Linked DNA regions of Callithrix jacchus. The protein of the gene in region 1 purifies or fractionates together with the protein of each later gene. This does not show direct contact. Links are inferred from orthologs where the notes say so. Each region holds a gene or a part of one and is shown in the gene's direction. Other genes may lie near its edges.

The links.
Region 2: the proteins of KLHL15 (region 1) and NUDCD3 purify together in Homo sapiens (co-immunoprecipitation; 3 studies listed by BioGRID and IntAct, with this or other methods). This does not show direct contact. The link is inferred for Callithrix jacchus from reciprocal best matches to the Homo sapiens genes KLHL15 and NUDCD3.

What each region holds. Positions count from the first base shown.
Region 1 is NC_133524.1:24,766,397-24,770,577, reverse strand, and holds the start of KLHL15 (kelch-like protein 15), read left to right. Parts: upstream 1-1,381; 5' UTR 1,382-1,428; intron 1,429-2,894; exon of another isoform or gene 2,895-3,505; 5' UTR 3,506-3,707; intron 3,708-4,181. UniProt on the Homo sapiens protein: Substrate-specific adapter for CUL3 E3 ubiquitin-protein ligase complex.
Region 2 is NC_133512.1:12,467,159-12,470,658, reverse strand, and holds part of NUDCD3 (nudC domain-containing protein 3), read left to right. Parts: intron 1-1,717; coding exon 1,718-1,828; 3' UTR 1,829-3,500.

The sequences.
Region 1 (4,181 bases):
TTTTTTTTATTTTTTTGAGACGGAATTTTTGCTCTGTCGCCCGGGCTGGGATACAGTGGCGCCATCTCGGCTCACTGCAACCTCCGCCTCCCAGGTTCAAGCGACTCTCCTGCCTCAGCCTCCTGAGTAGCTGGGATTACAGGCGCCGGCCACCACGCCCAACTAATTTTTGTATTTTTAGTAGAGATAAGGGTTCACCATGTTGGCCACGCTGGTCTCGGACTCTTGACTTCAGGTGATTCACCCGCCTCAGCCTCCCAAAGTGCTGGGATTACAAGCGTGAGCCACCAGAACCCGCCGAAAATTAACATTTCAAGACAGGAATTACCTGGAGTTTATTTAAATGAGAGGGTTTTGGCCGGGCGCGGTGGCTCACGCCTGTAATCCCAGCACTTTGGGAGGCCGAGGCGGGTGGATCACGAGGTCAAGAGATTGAGACCATCCTGGTCAACATGGTGAAACCCCGTCTCTACTAAAAATACAAAAAATTAGCTGGGCACGGTGGCGCGTGCCTGTAATCCCAGCTACTCAGGAGGCTGAGGCAGGAGAACTGCCTGAACCCAGGAGGCAGAGGTTGCGGTGAGCCGAGATCGCGCCATTGCACTCCAGCCTGGGTAACAAGAGCGAAACTCCGTCTTAAAAAAAAAAAAAAAAAAAAAAAGAGAGTTACTTTCCTTGATATTGGAAGAGCAGAATGTTTTATTAAGGTACTACATCTTTTTATATATTACACACTACTTTTTAATTTTAATTTTTGATTGAGATCGAGGGTCTTGCCACGTTGCCCTAGCTGGTCTCAAACTCCTGAGCGCCAGAGCGCGGTGGCTCATGCCTGTACTCTTAACACTTTGGGAGGCCGATGCGGGCGGATCGCTTGAGCCCAGGAGTCTGCGACCATGCTGGGCAACATGGCCAAACGCCGTCTCTACAAAAAACAGAAAAGTTAGCCAAGCATGGTGGGGCACACCTGTGGTCCCAGCTACTCGGGAGGCTGAAGTGGAAGGATCGCTTGAGCATCGGAGGACAAGGTTGCAGTGAGCCATGATCGCGCCTCTGCCCTCTAGCCTGGCCGAGAGTGAGACCATCTCAAAATAATAATAATAATAATAATAAAATAAAAATAAGAAATAAGAGTGAAAGAGGCATCATTGATTAAATATAACTTTTGGAGGTGGTTTATATAGTAAATGTCTAGATTGATTGAAAGACCCAGCCCAGTTTCAGAAACTACAATAAATATTCAAAAAAGCACATTTGAAATTCCACATGTGAGACCTTGTAATGTCAACATAAGGGAGGGCGGGGGAGGGGGCATGGTGATCACACTATGGCTTATGACATCACTCACTACATTTATACCTGCTGCACAGAATGCAGAAACATTTCAGCTCTTGCCTGAATCAAGAACAGAAGCCTCTCTTTAGACAGGTCAGTGCCACATAGTAATGTATAGATTAAAATATATGTCTGTTGGTTAATGTACAAAAATCAAAATTCAAGCGTTTAGATGTTTGGGAATAATGTATGAAAATTTAAATATTCAGAAGTTGAATGTATGCGTTTTAAAAGTTTATTTTAAGGTTTTAAAAAATTTGTGTTAAGGGGATAAATTCTGGGGTAATTTCATATATTAGATACAAATACAGCAAGCAAGGATTTTTAAATAATGAACAGAAATATCTTAAAGGAGCTATTAGAAAAGATGGAAAGAATGTGTGAACAACTTGGGAATTTCAGTGTCTTATAGTTTTTTAAAGCTTGTTATAGTTTAAATCATAATAAGGAAGCTTATTTCCAAAAGACTGAGGTGATTCTGTTATCTTTCCCACGAAGTAGTCTACTTCAGCAAAACAGTACACCGTGTGCTATTTTGGCCTCTTGGGAAAGATGGCACGTTCAAGTTTGCTAGAAAGAGATAATGATCGCTTTTAGCGACACATCTCACGGAAAGTTCATCGGGATATTGGTCTAGAGAGAAAATGGCGGCGGGGGGTGGGGGTGGGGGAAGCCGAAATACCCCAGTTTAGGATCAGCAATGGCAATGGATGCCCTAATTTAAGGTTAATTGTAGAACCACGGGCTTCCAACCGTGCATTTCCGTCACCTACACTTTTCTCACAAAGATATTGCATAATAAATTTACAAAACAGTCCTATAGTCTAGTTTTATTTTCTAAAGTCAAGAAAAGGTTAAATTTTAAAACTATTAGCTAGAATTCTATAGCTGATGTGTTAAAAACGAACAAAAAAAAATCACTACCCTCTGAATGTTCGTTCTTTATTATTTTGACGCAAGTAGAGACAGAATAGCTTTTTTAGATCCGGCATTTCTCCGGGTAGTGCAGACATGCCATTTTTATTAATTTTCCCACCCCTGGGAAATCGATTTCTGAAACGTGTAATTCTTGTGCAGTGAGCCAAGTGGACAGTGACGCAATAATCCACTGCAAGTTGCCTTACAAAAAATGATGTCATTTGGCGCAGATCTAGTCACTTTTATAACAGGTAGTAATGGCAAAGCTCCCTACACGCTGTCCCCGATTCCCCCACCCCCACCGTGGCAAAGATGCAAAAGGACACTTTCCTGGCTTCCTAGCCCTTAACTTGTCGAGGGTGGGCGCACCGCAGTGGCTCCCGGCCCAGCGCTCGTGCCGGGGGAGAGGGACCGCTGCAAGGGGACGAGGACAGCTGAGCGTCCTCAGCCCCGACGGCGGCGCCGTAGGGAAAGCTGCGTCGGGCCAAGCCCGGGGCCGCGACGCCCGGTCGCCTGTTTACCTCAGTGGGGCACCGCTGGCGTGGCGGGCCGGCGGCCGGGACTCGAGGCGCAGCGGGCGCGGGACAGCCTTCCCCGCCCCCTCCCCCCGTTCCCACACCCGCTCCCGCTCCCGTGGCGCCGGAAGTGACGCGCTTTGGACTGAAAGATGGCGGCATTGGCGCTCGACCAGGGGGAAGGTAAACACCCGCCAGGCCGCGCGCTGGCTCCCTCGGGGCGCCAGCAGGGGCCGAGGGGCCCTCCCGGGCCAGCTTCCCGCTCCCCACCCGGCTTCCCACCCTCCCCCCGAACTCCTAGCGTGGCGGGCTTCCGCGTCTAGACAACCGCGCACGGGGGGCCCCCTGCCAGGCAGCCCCGCCTCCCTGGGCGGGCCTCGGGCGGCTCCCGCGGCCCGGAGCGGTCCCCGGCTCGTGGCCCTGCACGCCCCGCCCCTTTCCCGCCCCTTTCCCGCCTTCCTCCACCCCCGGCGTGGGTGATCCCGAGGCTCGGCGCGCTTCGGGGCAGAAGCCCGGAGACGCCGTCGTTGACGCTGCGACCGCTGGTGCTTCTCTCTCTGCCCGCTGCCCCCCAGCCCTTTCCTCCGCCCGCGGCCCCAGTCGGTCCTCCCGCCGAGCCCCGCCGGGTGCTGCAAAGACCCCGGCGTTGGCAAGGCCGGTCCGGGCGCCGACGCCGCGCCGCCTCGTGTGGAGCCCGACTGTCTGGTTTCGCGACTCAGAGGTGTCTTCCTTCCCAGGACTTACTCAGAGGGGGCTGCAGGCGAGCACACTTGTGCCCCGCCGGAGCGACCCGGCTCGGGCCGCGAGCGGCTGCTCGTAGACGTCCGAGAAGCCTGCCGAGTGCCTTCCCGGCGCCCGACCGCCCACCCATCGGCCTGCCGGCCCCGTTCTTCCTAATGCGGACTGCCGTCCACTAGAGGTTGGACAGGACCCCCAGAGGTACGTAACCGCCCCCGGTCGCCGGCCTGCGGAGCCGGGGCTTCGCCCGCGGCCCCGAGCTAAGCACGAATTCTCCGGCCGTCTCTGCACGGACGCGAGTCAAACATTTGATAGACGCCGGGACCTCATTTGTCTTTGAGTTTACTTAAATTGTTTGAAATGTAATTTCTTTTTCCCGGAGAGAGCGAGAAAGAAAAAGGAAGAAGCATAATTCAGCCATTTTTTGCAGCACACAGCTGCAGGTACCATGATTATTTTTTCCCTAACGCGTTCCTTTCCTTTAACAATTCTATTTATGCTTGAAATAGAACTACGCGGAATGCGAGGCATAAAACTAGGAATCGGAAGGTCTGGGTTCGACTTGGGTGACTCTGAGGAAAAATCGCGTACCAAGCCTCTGTTTCTTATCTATGAAATATACTCAGTACTACCAACCTCTCAGGGTTGAGAGGACTATATGAGGTCATATATGTG
Region 2 (3,500 bases), on another chromosome or scaffold:
GACACACAGGAATGCCTGCAGTCCACTTTTGTCTCAGGAAAGGTCTGAGTGCTGATCTTGACACCCTGTGCTCCTTCTGTTGTAAGATCAAGTCTACTAATCTGCCCTTTGCACTCTGGGCATCCTACATCGGGCCCCCATTCAGCCACCCAGTTCCCAGGGTACGAGTGTGGTGGCTGCAGGGTTCTACAGCTGTCATTTGCCCTACAGCTGGCCAGGATTCTTTTGAAAGGTTCAGAGGCTTTGTGCAGCTGCCTGCTGAAGTCATCCGTTCTTGTGTTTGGTTGAGGCTGTCCAGCCTCATACCTCCAGTGGGCAGAGGAGGGGGCTTCATGTAGTCTTCTCTGTACCCCTAGCCACTCCATGTGTGCTGCAGGACCTTGTTCTCAAAATGGTCTTTCTAAAGTCTCTGATGTGAATTGCCCACAAGAAATTGATAGTAATGTCAATTAATCTGTAGTATATAGTACACATCTTTGATATGCTTGTTGCTGCATCACTTCGATTTTAAAAAAAGAAAAAGAAGCCAAGTATGGTGGACTGCACCCGTAGTCTTAAGTACTCAGGAGGCTGAGGTGGGAGAATCGCTTAAGCCAAGGAGTTTGAGGCTGCACTGAGCTGTGACCACACCACTGCACTCTAGCCTAGGAAACAGTGAGACCCCATCTCTAAAAATTAAAACAGCAAAGAGAAAACTCTCTTGTCAGGAAGACTGTGTTTTATGTAAGGAGAAGCCCTGGCGTTGAGAGCCCCACAGCCTCATCTTCTGGGCCTAGGCTACAGGGTTTTCTGCAACAGGGACCATGGATCATATTGGTAGAGTAACTACTGGCCCTGCACAGTCTCTTTTGTCCCTGGTCAGAATGTCAGAAGGAAGGAGAGATCATCCCCAGCCCTCAGTATACTCATGGTGGCCACATGAGGAGGGCAGATACGGAGTCCCTATGAGGAGAGAGGGCCTGCTAGCTCAGGTACCGATGCTTCCCTCAGGATCCAATATTCCTAATGTCCCTTGCCATGGCCACACACTCAGGCTTGCTTCTGACCCTCGGAGGCTTGATAGTTCCAGAATAGCCAGATGTTGGCAACAGCTTAGTTAACCAACTCTGACTGCATCTGCAAGGATGCAGTGGGGAATTCCTGACTGGGGGGGTCTACCACTGGACATTCCGAAGTCTCTTCCTCCATGCCACATCCTGGGTCAACCCTGGATTGTCTGATGATCTAGTTCTTGATGTTGATAACTGGGGTGCTAGGGTATCCTCTCTGCACACCTTCATCAGATGGGGCTTGAACATTTTACGCACCTTCTCTATGACCCCAGTGGGGCTGGGACACTTCCTCTTCATGTCATAGTCAGTGCCTAGTGGGACCATAGACGTTGCAGGCTGTTTGGAATTTGTTGATTCCAAACAGATTGAAAAGGGACAAGATGAACCATGAAGAGCAGCCAGAGCTTTGCTGGGGACAGAAGATGGGGGGTTAGAAACTCAGTCTGTGGAGCACAGTCTTGCAGAGAAGTTGTTAGTCACACAGTGCCTCCCTTGGTCGAAGGCTGCTCCAGGGCAGTACGGTTCTCTGGCCAGTCAGTTTTGCCAGGTGAGTGCCTGAGCCCTGAGGAAGCAGGAAGGCTCTTTGCCTGCAGTCAGAGTCTGCTCTGGGAGAAAGTGCACAGTGCCTTGTGATCTTGTTTAATCTCTTTATTTTCTGTTTGTAGAAAGTCCATGAGATGCTGAAGAAGGGGTGGGATGCTGAAGGTTCTCCCTTCCGAGGCCAGCGATTTGACCCTGCCATGTTCAACATCTCCCCAGGGGCTGTGCAGTTTTAATGACCAGAAGGAAAGGAAACCCTCACCGGTGGGGAGGCAGAGGCCTTGTCCTCAGCCGCCCTCCTCGGCTCCCCCTGTGTTCTAGGGACTTGTTCGTCTTGTTTACCCCTAGCCATCCTTTCAATGGTGAACCAGGCCTTCCACCCTGACCTTGCATCTCCAGACTGTTCCAGAGAAGGTGCAGTGACAGCTGCTGTGTGGTGGCCGCTGTGGCTGACACTGAGTGAAGGTGTTTGAAATGCAAGAGAGGATATCCCAACAAATTGGGATCATGTGCTTCTGTCTCCACAGCAACCAGCCACTGCAGGCAGCATGTCTTTCCCCTGCTCTCTGCTTGCTGTTGTTTTGACGCTGTTCTGCTTGCATGTGTTCTGGTTGGGGTGTAGAGTTGTTGCTGGGCTCTCAGGCGAAGCTGAAGTCATTGAAGTGTGTGAAGCTCAGTGCTTGCATGAGGGCAAGCAAGGAATGACTGTGCAACTGTGCCTGGGGCTGCTTTGGGAAGCTCCTTGCCCCTTGACCTCTTTCGGGAGCACTGATGTGGTCTTCTTGCTTATCCCCTTATAAATGTGCTCTGCCTGCCTCAGCGTCATGGTCAGAGCAGTGGAAGCTGGAGCCCTGTTTGCACATTCTAGATGTTGGGAGACAGCCTAGGTTCTGGGCTCAGGTCCACATGCAATGGGGATTCTGTCTGTTCTCTGTGGCGACCATGCTTTGGTTCTTGTTGAAGTGAACCAAGCCTGGCCACCACGGCATGGCATGCCCTGCTTGGCTCCCTGTAAGATGTCCTCTTTGGGTTCACGGTGTCAAAGCGTGGGCAGGAGTGGAGAGCTAGCGCCCTCAGGAGGAGACTACAGCATGTTCATCAGCTCATCAGCAGAGCACGCCAGCCACAAGTCCTGACAAGCCTTGACCTTGAGGGGCTTCTGGGAGAAGAGGAATTTCTGCATGGGGCATGAAGGCATACTGTCCCACCACAACTGAACCAGAAGACAGTGAAGGCCCCCATCCTCTGTGCCAGGTGCCAGACTGCGCTCCCTGGAGCTTATGGCCCCATCTTACCTGTTCTCCAGGGACTGGCCACCACCTCCAAGGTGGTCGACCTCCAAGGACCTCCAAGCCCAGGCCCATGGCTGCTGACTGACTCCAGCCAAGATGCAAAGACAAGATCATGGGACAGGGCCCCAGGCCTATGCCCTGAGTACTCACAGGGGCTCTGGGTGCCTGTCACTGGGAGTATGGTTCAGCTGCCACTGGCACTGTCCATTTGCCTGTCCATCAAGCTCGGGGCATGGATAAGCCACACAGCAGGGCAGTGCACCCTGGCACCATGCACAGCCAGCAAGAATCAAGGCCCGCAGATGCTAAGAGAGCCTACCATCAGGGGAAGGACCCTGCCCCTGCATGCTCTCTCTGTGTATACTTGGGTTGCGGGGGCTGTCTAGGAGAGTAAGTTGGTGGTTGGTTTCTGATTTACAGTGGTGGCTGACAGCCCTTGTGAGAAAGCATTCCTGGAAAGTCTTCTGTAGGTCCAGACTGTTGCTCTGATCATCATGGGAGAACAGAAGACCCCATGTACCCGCTTTGGAATGTGAGAGCCTTGTCTGATATTTGCCACTGAACTGGTGAAGCCCTGCTTAAGAGCTCTTGACCCTGGGGAGCAGAACTCTTGTCA